Cricetulus griseus: one gene and its partners. The protein of the gene in region 2 interacts with the protein of the main gene of each other region in a biochemical or structural test. Links are inferred from orthologs where the notes say so. Each region holds a gene or a part of one and is shown on either strand. Other genes may lie near its edges.

Region 1 (3,646 bases), on a different chromosome or scaffold from region 2:
GTTGTCACATCATGTTAATCCCCTTTAATGATATTCAGATCTATTTTAACATAATTTATGTGATATCAGTAGTTTTGTTTCATCAACCCCTTCAGTGTCCTTTCCTATCAAGCTTATTTTCTGTATTTGTATTAAATTTTGTGAGTTGTAGGCATTTATGCTAGTTATTTCCACACTGGCATTTGTTCATGTCTTTTACCCATGCACATTCCACACCTGTCTCTTGTAAACAGCAGATTTACTTTAAAAATAAAATGTGAACCTACTAGCATATTAATAGACAACTTTCCTTTTGTCATTTACTCTACCTTGAAATTGTTAACTCTGGATTTTATTTCTTGAACTGTGTTCTTCCATTTCCAATTGTTATTGCTGTCATTCCTAAGACAGGTAAGCCCCTCTTCTATCTTTTAGGCTGGATACAATGAAATAATCTTAAAGTTTCAGCTTTGACTTAGAAGTTTTTAATGAAAAGAGGCAGCATTGTATGAGAAATAATGTACATTTTACAATATGCCATTCACACTAACAGAAGAAAACTAAATTGTTTTCTTTTTCAACTGAAATTTAGGTCTCTTTTTACAATGGAAAGTATGAGGGAGAGGCAGTTTCTCAAAATCAATCAACATCTTGTAAGTCATCCTGCCCTATTTTTTTCTACTTCTATGTGTATGGATTTGCTTGAGCAGAGCTGTGCTATTTTGCATCCATCAATTGACTCCTTAGTTGCTTGCACATACTTTATAAATACCTGAAATTTTCAAAAACCTCTGAGTAAACACAGATTAAAATACAGTATAATAAAAATTTAATTAATAGATTTGATCACTTAGTCACTCAGCAGATGTTGCCTTCATTACAAATTTAGAGAGTATTTATTTACAGACAGGTAGTTTTGGTAGCTCCTTTAAATGTGACTGTGGTGTTTGGTCCATATATGTGCTACAGATGTGTGTACTGATTATACTCTGATTTCTAAGATACCTTATACATAGGGAGCATCATTATAGACCATAAAGCGCACGTATGCGTGCACACACACACACACACACACACACACACACACACACACAAGGTTTAGGGGTTATGAACAGCTACCTTTCTCTGTGTTCTACACAGCCCACCATTTACTGTAACTACACCATTTAACCTCGTTTCAGGAATTAAGGAACTGAGGTGCAAAGGTAATAGGATTCCCTTTCAGGATGTAAGAACTAAGGTTGGAAGCTCAGCAGCCTGGCTCTGGGGCTCAAACTTTGATGCCACTGCATGGGTTTATTGGATTTCCATTGTGTGGATGAAAAGGATGGCACATCACCCAGGATAAAGACATTGCCAACCCTGCTTTGCTCTCCTTTCCCTATGCTTGTGATTTACATTGATTCTTAGTGAAAATTCAAGCAAGGGAAAGTGTTAATCCTCACTGTCAAATGAAGTAAATTTTGTCTCTTGGTTAATTGGTTTTATCCCCCAGTGAGCATGTAAGAGATTTATCTTTGTGGGGTAGAAGCTTTTATGAATCCCTTAGGAGGCTACCCACTACTGTGCTCAATGATAAACTATGAGTTTCTTTCTGAAAGCTGTAATAACTGCATTACCTCATTGATCCCTTTAAAATGACTCTCTGAAAGGGAATTAAATCTAAATGATAGTTTTCTACAAAAGTACAGTATTTAATGAAAAGAAATGGAAGTGCTCATCTATATTCTAATTAGTCTCTTTAAATATAAATGCCCTGGGAATTTTGAAATAACAGAGCCCATCATTGCAAAATCAAGATTTTAATGTATTTCAACTTATTCTAAAATTTTTGCTTTGAGTCTTCACCATAAATGAAAAAAAATACTAAAATTCTAGTTCATGAAGGTCACTCACATTGTCTACCAAAGTATATGACATGATTATCTCTTGTGTGTCACTTATCATTTCTAGATAATGCTAAAGCACTGATTATATTCCTGGTGTTTCTGATTATTGTGACATCAATAGCCCTGCTTGTTGTTCTGTATAAAATCTATGATCTGCGTAAGAAAAGATCCAGGTAAGAGACTATTAATTTTGAATTAGGAGGCAATAGTAGTTGTAATAATTTCACAAACTGTTCAAAATGCATTAACCGAGAAATGGACTAGAGAAGACAGTATGAACTTCAGTTAATGACTGAGTTGGGTGTCAAAGACTTAACATGGAATTACTGTATTACTGTAAGCACTTATATTCTCTGCCTTTGCTAATGATATTGTAGGCTTGTTTTGATAATAATCAGCACAAAGCATGTGTACCCTCTCATTTAATCCTCAGTAGATGAAAGTAATATGGGAACAGCAAATGCAAAAGGAGGGAAGTTCTGGGGACTTTGTTTATTTCTTTGCCCAAGAAGATAAGTATTTATGAAAAATGGGAGAATCCATTTAACTCTTTCTCACTCTTCTGAAATTTACAGGCAACTCTTGATTTCTTTCTTTGCTCCCTTGGTTTCTTCACTCTCCCCAAGTTCCTGTTTTACCTCTCCCTTTTTCTATCCCTTTCATTCTCTATCTTCTCCTATTCTCCTCTAACCCTTCTTCTGTTAGCCTTACCTCTATTTCCCCCTTCACTCAATACATTTATAAGATGGTGTTTGTTCAGTTAAGTTGAATGCCAACTGAATTCCATGTTCCTTACAAATATAGAAACTCATCTTTCTTATTTTCACAGCAATTTAGATGAACAACAGGAACTTGTCGAAAGAGGTAAGTATAAATAATTTTTACTGATGAATATTATTTCTCTGAATTTGCATTCTCTTATTGCAAAATCAGGGATGTGTATTTTTAATTAAATCTGGACTTTGTCTATTGACACATGATGAAACAAATTTATTTTTTTCCAAAAGTAGCCATGTATGTGAAGTTTTCAAGGTATCACAAATACTATCCATGGCACTGAGAGTACAACAGTGAGAGACCATGGTCTCTGGGAATATAATAGAGGAATCCAAGTGTGTTAATGAGTAAGAACAATTTGGTAAATATTATAGCTGTTTAATGTACACAGTTCTGTATAAAGAAAAATGATAGACAATTGCCTGTGGAGGGTGCAGGAATTTGGTTGGCTAAGACTTCTGGGAAACATCAGACCAACTAGTGAGTAAGGAAGAATGGGAGAGCAGATGGTGATGAGGTGATAATGGAGGTAGACATTGTATAAAGAAAAGACATCCCTTATTTTATATAATTATTTTATATAATTATTTTTATATAATTATTTTTTAAGGTTTTAAAGACAGAACAAAAACAGTCAATCATTAAAGATATTTAAACTATGCTTATGATAATTAAAGTAGCTTGTTTTTCCATTATATAAGACACAGAATTTCAGAGCACTTCTCTATCTTTTGTTAACTCCTGTGTGAAGGGTTTCCTTCTGACAATGGGAGGTACCAAGTTTCTGTGCAGCAGCTTTTGGGATGGTTCTTCAGAGATCCTTAATTTTAGTCTCTTTTAGAGACTGTATCACAACTTGACACTTTATTTATTCATGTCTTTGTTGGTTAGCCTGCCATAGGTAGGTTGCAGAATTTGGGAAAGTTCCTCCTTTTTTTCAGTGTTTTCTCCACAGTGCCAGGGTGAATATATAGAATTAGTGCATGTGTCTGTGAATAGAA
Region 2 (4,139 bases):
GTGTGTCACTATAGATTAAAAGACTGAGCTGGGCAATGGTGGCACATGCCTTTAATTCCAGCACTCAGGAGGCAGAGACAGGTGGATCTCTGTGAATCCGAGGCCAGTCTGGTCTAACAGAGTGGGTTCCAGGACAATAAGAGCTGTAACACAGAGAAACTCCGTCTCCAGAACAACAACAACAAAAAAGACTGAAAGATGTAGTAGGTCTTCCTTAATATCAAAGTGGTCAAAAGCATGATATTGTACACCTTGATTAATCCCTAGCACTCACAGGCAGGCGTATCTCTGCAAGTTCGAGGCCAGCCTTGTCTGCACTGGTCTACATGGTGAGATGCAGGCCTGCAGCTCAGCCATGGCTACATATGTAAGACTTACCGTTAAAAAAAAAAGAAAGATTTGAATCTCCTGCTCATAGTAAATCATTCTCTGAGGACCAATGCTCTCCAAGCAGTTCCGAGGTGGTAACAGCTTTAGGGAAGGAGGTACACAGACAGGGATTCCAGAGGCTTCAGGGGGAGTCCCCACTCTGACTTGATTAGAACAGCTCTACTTCATTTGCTGCGTCTTTGAGGTTCTGCTTGACTTCATTTGACAAAAGTTTCCACAGCTCAGACAGGCAAGCAAAAGCTGCTACAGGCAGCAGAGCGACTGAAGGGTTTCCTTCTGCTGGTGAGAAGCAAAAGCATGTTAGCAGAAACAGTCTGAAGGAGCCTGTGCTGTGAGTGGGGGTGGGGTGCTGGGGGCTGGCAGAGGTCAAAGGTTGACTCCAAGGAACAGGAGCCTCTCAGCTTCAGTATCTAGGCAGCGGCCTTGAAATTATAGGGACATGCATCCTCCTTGGTGGAGGAGGGTGAAATCAAAATTTAGGTTTCCCCCGGGGCTTGGCCCAGTGTGTGTGATGTCTCCCAGGTAATCCCTCCAAAGTAGGGAACTAGCAGGCCTGAGGAGGCAGGAAGTGGGTAACTACACTAACAAAGGTGCCTGTGGCGGTTTGCCCACCCCAGGTGGGAGGGTGGGGACTCGATTTGGGCCTGGGCCTCCTGTGAACTTAGTTGTTGCTTGAGGGCTCAGAGTGAACCAAATCAGGATCTAGAATCCCACATTTTGGCTCTGGCTCTTCTATATGGCCAATGGGAGCCCCAGAGCAGACAGTCTCAGGAGTTCTGTAAACTCCAGGGCAATACTCTAGGATGTCTGATGCTGGGGGAACCGACTTAGGGGAGCTCCTTCAGGCCTCTCTACGTTCTTTCAGGGATCATGGGCTGTGGCTGCAGCTCAAACCCTGAAGATGACTGGATGGAGAACATTGATGTGTGTGAAAACTGCCATTATCCCATAGTTCCACTGGACAGCAAGACCACGGTAAGAGGAAGACGGAATGGGTAAAGGGAGGCTGTGTGACCAGGAGGAAAAAAAAAACAAAGCAAATGAATCATAACTAAAGGTCCTGGAAATAGCCAGGTGGTGGTGGTGTGTGCCTTTAATCCCAGCACCTGAGAGGCAGAGGCAGGTATATCTCTATGAGTTCAAGGTCAGCCTGGTCTACAGAGTGAGTTCTAGGACAGCCAGGGCTGTTGCACAGAGAAAGGTACTGGAAATAATAGAGAACCCATGTCCGCTGGAGTACAGTAAGGAAGACATCAGAGAGCAGAACGGACCTTCCTAAGGTCAGGTGCACACAGAGCTGGTGAATCCAGAGAGAAGGCTGGAAAAACGGAAAGAGCAGAGGTGAGGGGAGCCGGGTCAGAGAAAAATGACCCAAGCCTCATTTCCTACTCCACAGCTGCCCATGCGGAATGGCTCTGAAGTTCGGGACCCACTGGTCACCTATGAGGGCTCCATCCCACCAGCCTCCCCGCTGCAAGGTGACTCCATCCAGCAGGGTGTGAAGCCTGTGGATGGTTGGCCGTTGGTGTCCATACCCTCTGTACCTACCCTCAGCCTTGTCTGCATCCTGCCCTGTGCCCCTTGAACTCCATTGTTCCCGTCAGCCCTGGGCTGCTGCTTCTTGACTCTTCGTGTCTTTACAGACAACCTAGTTATCGCTCTGCACAGCTATGAACCCTCCCATGATGGAGATCTGGGCTTTGAGAAGGGTGAACAGCTCCGAATTCTGGAGCAGTGAGTATCCTTCTAACCCACCTTGCCGTGTGTGTGTGTGTGTGTGTGTGTGTGTGTGTGTGTGTGTGTGTGTGTCTGTCTGTCTGTCTGTCTGTCTGTCTGTCTGTCCGTCCGTCCTCAGCCCTCCTACATCCCTGACAGGCCTCAGGTGAGGGCTTTTGGAATAAGGTAGAAAGCACTAGAATGATCATACCAGGGAGTGGTGGCCTGGCCTAACTGGGAACTCTGAGGGTTTCCAGGGCCTACGTAGGCCATGCTGATGGTCTCTCTGTGGCGCAGGAGCGGTGAGTGGTGGAAGGCTCAGTCCCTGACCACCGGCCAAGAAGGCTTCATCCCCTTCAACTTCGTGGCGAAGGCAAACAGCCTGGAGCCTGAACCGTGAGCACGGGACCGTGTGGGAATGGAGGAGAACATCTAGGGATCTCAAAGAAGGGCGTGGTCTTGGGGGTGGGGGATGTTTGCCAGTGATGGAGGGATAATTGACCAACAAGCCAGGCAAGCCTTTAATCCCAGCACTCTGGAGGCAGGGGCAGGGGCAGGCAGATCTTTGAGTTCCAGGTCAACCAAGGCTGCAGATTTAAAAAAAAAAAAAAAAAAAAAAGAGTCGACCAACAGCCAATGGTCTTTCTTCTGCTCTTTGTAGCTGGTTCTTCAAGAATCTGAGCCGTAAGGACGCTGAGCGGCAGCTTTTGGCGCCTGGGAACACGCACGGATCCTTCCTGATCCGGGAAAGTGAAAGCACCGCGGGTAAGAGGCAGGACCCTGTGGGCGGGGCCTCTGCTTGTGGGCGGGGCTTCGAGTTGAGGGCCATCACCTCCCGGTGAGGAGGTGTGCGGGGGTGGTGGCCTCCTGATTTACCGAAGGCAATCCTCTCTCTCCCTCTCTTTTTTTCCTCTTCAACTTCCCTCCTCCTCCTCCTCCTCCTCCTCCTCCTCCTCCTCCTCCTCCTCCTCCTCCTCCTCTTCCTCCTCCTCCTCCTCTTTTCCTTCCTCCCGTCTCCAATCTTTCTTCAGGATCTTTTTCACTGTCGGTCAGAGACTTCGACCAGAACCAGGGAGAAGTGGTGAAACATTACAAGATCCGCAACCTAGACAACGGTGGCTTCTACATCTCCCCTCGTATCACTTTTCCCGGCCTGCACGAGCTGGTCCGCCATTACACCAGTGAGCAATGGCAGAGCGTTTTCACCTGTACCCACCCTAGCGGCCTATCTCCCCCCAAGTCGTTCCTAGGGACCCTCCAAGCATCGGCAGTACCTGACCCTCCACCCTGCAGGCTAACGTTGGGTGACAGGCTCCCCTCCCATGCCGGCCTATTTCCCCTGTGCCGAACGTGGAGAGAGGTAGGGGCTGGAGGGAGCACCCAAGGTCTCCAGCAGTGACCGCCTTACTCCTCTCCTCTGTCATTGCAGATGCCTCTGATGGGCTGTGCACGAAGTTGAGCCGTCCTTGCCAGACCCAGAAGCCCCAGAAGCCGTGGTGGGAGGATGAATGGGAGGTTCCCAGGGAGACACTGAAGTTGGTTGAGCGCCTGGGAGCTGGCCAGTTTGGGGAAGTGTGGATGGGTGAGTGTGGAGGTCAGAACTGATTGGAAAGAGAGGAGGAGATGTCACCAAGATGTGAGACACTGGCCTCTTCAGGGCAGCGACTAGTTCAGGGATCTCTGCAACTCCCTCACCCGCAACCCACCTCCAGGGTACTACAACGGGCACACGAAGGTGGCAGTGAAGAGCCTGAAGCAAGGGAGCATGTCCCCCGATGCCTTCCTGGCGGAAGCTAACCTCATGAAACAGCTGCAGCACCAGCGGCTGGTCCGGCTTTACGCAGTGGTCACCCAGGAGCCCATCTACATCATCACAGAATACATGGAGAACGGTGGGTGTCCCTGCTATGTCTAGCCGCTTGAAGGCGCTGTTGTCGTCCACTGTCTTTTGCACCCGGGGTAGGAATGTGCTTGTTCCTGCTCTGCTGCTGAGGGTTTCTAAGGAAGCTTCCCTGGGCCAGACTTTGGAAAAA
Region 3 (4,180 bases), on a different chromosome or scaffold from region 2:
GGCTGAGTGTGAAACTCTTGTTTTTCCACTGGAGGACATGAGTCAGTGAACAGTGAGGTTCCACTTAATCACCACCCCAAAACAAGGTTCTTAAGAATCAGGAGTAAGAAGAACAAGGGAATGATTAATATAAAGCCAGGACAGTGATTTACTCTTGGGTGGGGTGGGGTGGGTGGAGAACCCTGCTGGGAAAGGGAGAGCTAGGGATCTTTTGGAGTTTGATGCTACTGTAGTTCTTCGTCTGAGTGGAGACTGCATTGGCAATGGTTCCTTTATCATTATATTCGCACGTTTTATGTAGTTTTCTAAATATGTATTATAGCTAAAAATTACAAGTAGCTAAAAAAAAACAAGCTGTAAAAAGTTCTTAAGCTGAGAAAAGTATAACCAGATTTATATCATTAAAAAATTACTTGGGCACTAAGCATGGTGGTGCACATCTTTAATCGCTGTGCTTGGACACAAAGGTAGGTGAATCTTTGAGTTTGATGCTAGTTTGGTCTATAGAATGTGTTCCAGGCCAGCTAGGGCTACTTTAGTGAGACCTTATCCAAGAAAATTAGCTGAAGGTGGGACAAGGCTAGAAGCAGAGAACATGGTCAGGAGGTGGCTACCACAATTTGGTGAGAGATTATAATGACCTCTACAAGGGTTAAAATATAGAGATACAGTCTTTTGTTTTGAAAAATACAATAAAAAAATAAGACAGAAGCTAACACTGCCACTCAGATCACTTTTTTCCCCTCTATATCTTCACAAATTGACTCAAGAACAACAGTCAAAATGCAACCACATATCTAAGCAGACATATGGAACTCTACCCTGTGGCAAACCTACTCTGAGGACTTGTGGCAGAAAGAATACATTTTTATGACATCATGACCATATGAAAGTTGAGTTGGCATAATACCTTAGCATCAAAGTTGAGCTGCTTATACACTAGCCTACGGTGATATCTAATCATGATACCCAGTCAGTGAAAACTTCATAGAGTGTTTTCTCATCTAATATCTGGTCCTAGAATGCTAGCTCTGGAAGGCAAAGACATTTTATTCACTACTATATCTTAGGGTGAAAAAACAAAGTTAGTATACAGTAAGTGCTCAATAAATATTAATGAATTATTTCTTTCTTTCTTTTTTTTTCTCAAGATATGGTCCCTCTAAGCTGGATGGGCTAACCTTGAACTCACAGTCCAACTGACCTCAGCCTTAAGTAGCTAGCACTCTAGGCACCTCCATAGTACCTTGTATTTAATTATCATAATTATTTGTGTCTAATCAACACAATAATCCAATGAGAGTAGATAAGACATATATTATATATTATTATCCTCATTTTGTAAGTTAGAAAACAAAGATTTTATTCATTTTTTGCAATTAAAAGTTGAAGGGCTAAGACTCAATATTCTTATAATTCTAAAACACCAACTAGAAGCATTTCAAAGCATAACAGGCTGGAGTGGTGGCACACGCCTTTGATCCCAGAAACCAGGAGGCAGAGGCAGAAGGATCTCTGTGAGTTCAAGGCCAAGTCTGATCCACACAGCAAGTTCCAGGGCAGATAAGCTACACAGTGATACAAACAAAAACCAAGCAAAACAATAAAATCAAAACCATGACATGTCTGTCAGATCCCACACTCTCCAGTGTACCTGACATGGAGCCATATAGCCTGCCCAGCTTTTACTGCATTGACAACTACAGCTCCCCTACAAGGAGACCCATTGTCTTCTGGATAGTCAAGTCCACCTGCTCCCTGGCTACCTTGTTCCTGTGTCCCCTAGTTGTCTCTACTTCCCACTCTACCCAGTCCACTTCTTCTCCAAACAATAGAAGTTAAAGAAACCCAGTTAGGGCAAAAAAAAAAGGAAAATGCTGTTCTAAAAACTTGTCATTAGGCCGAGTGTTGGTGGCGCACGCCTTTAATCCCAGCACTCGGGAGGCAGAGGCAGGTGGATCTCTGTGAGTTCGAGGCCAGCCTGGTCTCCAGAGCAAGTGCCAGGATAGGCTCCAAAGCTACACAGAGAAACCCTGTCTCAAAAAACCAAAAAAAAAAAAAAAAAAAAAAAGAAAGAAAGAAAGAAAGAAAAGAAAAGAAAAGAAAAGAAAAAAGAAAAAAACTTGTCAATAGAAAAGGGAAAATAGAATAAAGTGGCAAATGACAGTTTTGGTGTAATTCAAAAGCCTGTCATCCAAATGATATCCTATAGGGAGTCTAAAAATTCAACACTACACGAGGAGTTCCTCTTAGTCTCTTTCTTTTTGGTATCAATTAAAATGAGTAATTTGAAGCTTAAAACACAACTCAAATGCTTTCTCCAGATGCTCAAAAGGTATTAATATTCATACATCTGTATATACCTTCATAGGACTGATAAACTCAAAAAAACCCACAAACACAACAATAAAACCAGCATACCTGAAAAAAATGCTGAATACACAGATACAACAAAACTCACAGAAGTTATGTTTTTAGGTTGTCTCCCCACGCAACCCCTTGTAGTCCAAGCTCTGATGTTCAATTTGTCCCTACAGCAATTCAGTCTAGGCAGGTTAGACCACAGCAGACCGTTAAACAGTGCATCTAACTCCTCTTTCAAACATCCCAGAACTCACCAGAAATTCATTGGCAAACTCCTCATTATTAATTTTCTTTTTCTGGGCCTCATTCAGTAACCGCTGCAAAATTTCTCTTTGGTCCATGCCGCAGAGCAAAAGTCTGTGAGTGAATTAAGTGAGGGCATGTCAAATGTGTGTCATGGCCAAGACACCACCAAGAAGCCACTGCTGCTGCCTGAGCACAGCACGCTGGAGGCTGTGGTTTACTGACTGCATCACAAGCCCTAGAGGAAATTAGTACGAAACCAACTTCTGTGGTCACACAACAAAGCCATCATCTCCCTCCAGGGCCCTAGCGCCTTCCTTTCTCAACAAAGAAACCTGGCTACAGTTCAAATGTAGCGAACAAGAGGCTAACCAGAACATTAAACTGTGGTCTGCTTAGCTGGGGGACTCTGCCAGCTTTCCACAGTACTCACCTCACCTCTCTTGATGCTTCCCAGACAACAGACAGAAGTACAGCTCTAACATAAGGTGTGTTCAGCCTTTCCACATTCCCCAGGAGAGCAAAGGCCTGGGTGATGAGCACCTGCCGTCCCTCTACAGGGAAGGAGACAGACACTGGAGTTATCTATCTTCTACCTGGACTATTGTCGCCAAAGTCAGAGCAGGCATTTTACTTCAGAACTTGTCAACTGCTTCTGACAGGCAGGCAGTCTCTCTCACGGCTGGGGAAGTACTGGCCCCCCATAGAGGGAAGTGTTGATCTCTGTACCTCTTCAAACCTGCAGTAGCTTTGATCCTTATTTGGGTTCTGAATACAAACATGGAGAGCACTGTTCTATGGAGGAGAAGCACCTGGTAGACAGCACACTATCCTCAGAACGCACTGCTAGTAGACAGTGAAGGAATGAAAACTAAAATTTAATTTGTCGAGTGTAATACAGATTCTAGGTCAGAAAGTCTTGGGAGAAGTGAGTATAGCAGTGCAATCTGGGGTCCTCGCTACTCAGGAGTGTCACCCAACTGGAGGATCACTTGAGTCTGGGAGTTTGAGACACCTGGGCAACAAAATGAGACCTCTCCCTCAAAAACTGAAAGAGAGAGAGAGACACAGAGACAGAGAAAGAGAGAGACAGAGAAGAAAGGAAGAATGAAAGAGAGAGGGAGAGAGAAAGCCTAAAGAAGTGATTCTCATGAAGACATTTTGACATTTTTTGCCCTACAGCCACAGTCTTAGAAAACATCCCATTTCAGGAAGCCATCCCCTACTCATGGCATTTGTGCCTTGATAGGCAGGCTGCTCTAGAGAAAGCTTCCATGCCTCCGTTTGCATAAATTCTCTCTTCAATGGGTACAAATCCACCCAAGATCTAATTCACCCCAAGTGAATATATTATCTTTAAAGGAGGAAGTTCAACAAACAGCATGTTACAAATTAGTCTCAAGTCTGTAAACTGGGAAAGATGTAGTTCGGACTTCCTCAATTTAAGATATTAGCAATTCTTTCTGCTTTTGCATTATTCAAACCCCCTTCAGAAAAATCATGATTTTGAACACAAACATTCTACAATCTCTCAATTGAGCCCTTGGTAGGCTACTTGAAGTTAATATTCCAA

Evidence for each region.
Region 1: of the proteins of Lck (region 2) and Ptprc, one has a biochemical effect on the other in vitro, tested with the Homo sapiens proteins (5 studies listed by BioGRID and IntAct, with this or other methods). The link is inferred for Cricetulus griseus from reciprocal best matches to the Homo sapiens genes LCK and PTPRC.
Region 3: of the proteins of Lck (region 2) and Ptpn22, one has a biochemical effect on the other in vitro, tested with the Homo sapiens proteins (3 studies listed by IntAct, with this or other methods). The link is inferred for Cricetulus griseus from reciprocal best matches to the Homo sapiens genes LCK and PTPN22.

What each region holds. Positions count from the first base shown.
Region 1 is NC_048598.1:51,232,662-51,236,307, forward strand, and holds part of Ptprc (receptor-type tyrosine-protein phosphatase C), read left to right. Parts: intron 1-571; coding exon 572-632; intron 633-1,932; coding exon 1,933-2,041; intron 2,042-2,697; coding exon 2,698-2,732; intron 2,733-3,646. UniProt on the Homo sapiens protein: Protein tyrosine-protein phosphatase required for T-cell activation through the antigen receptor. Acts as a positive regulator of T-cell coactivation upon binding to DPP4.
Region 2 is NC_048595.1:23,478,296-23,482,434, forward strand, and holds the start of Lck (tyrosine-protein kinase Lck), read left to right. Parts: upstream 1-1,254; 5' UTR 1,255-1,260; coding exon 1,261-1,365; intron 1,366-1,786; coding exon 1,787-1,868; intron 1,869-2,033; coding exon 2,034-2,124; intron 2,125-2,403; coding exon 2,404-2,502; intron 2,503-2,767; coding exon 2,768-2,871; intron 2,872-3,137; coding exon 3,138-3,287; intron 3,288-3,535; coding exon 3,536-3,688; intron 3,689-3,818; coding exon 3,819-3,998; intron 3,999-4,139. UniProt on the Homo sapiens protein: Non-receptor tyrosine-protein kinase that plays an essential role in the selection and maturation of developing T-cells in the thymus and in the function of mature T-cells. Plays a key role in T-cell antigen receptor (TCR)-linked signal transduction pathways.
Region 3 is NW_023276806.1:53,075,460-53,079,639, forward strand, and holds the start of Ptpn22 (tyrosine-protein phosphatase non-receptor type 22), read right to left. Parts: upstream 2,818-4,180; 5' UTR 2,706-2,817; coding exon 2,619-2,705; intron 1-2,618. UniProt on the Homo sapiens protein: Acts as a negative regulator of T-cell receptor (TCR) signaling by direct dephosphorylation of the Src family kinases LCK and FYN, ITAMs of the TCRz/CD3 complex, as well as ZAP70, VAV, VCP and other key signaling molecules.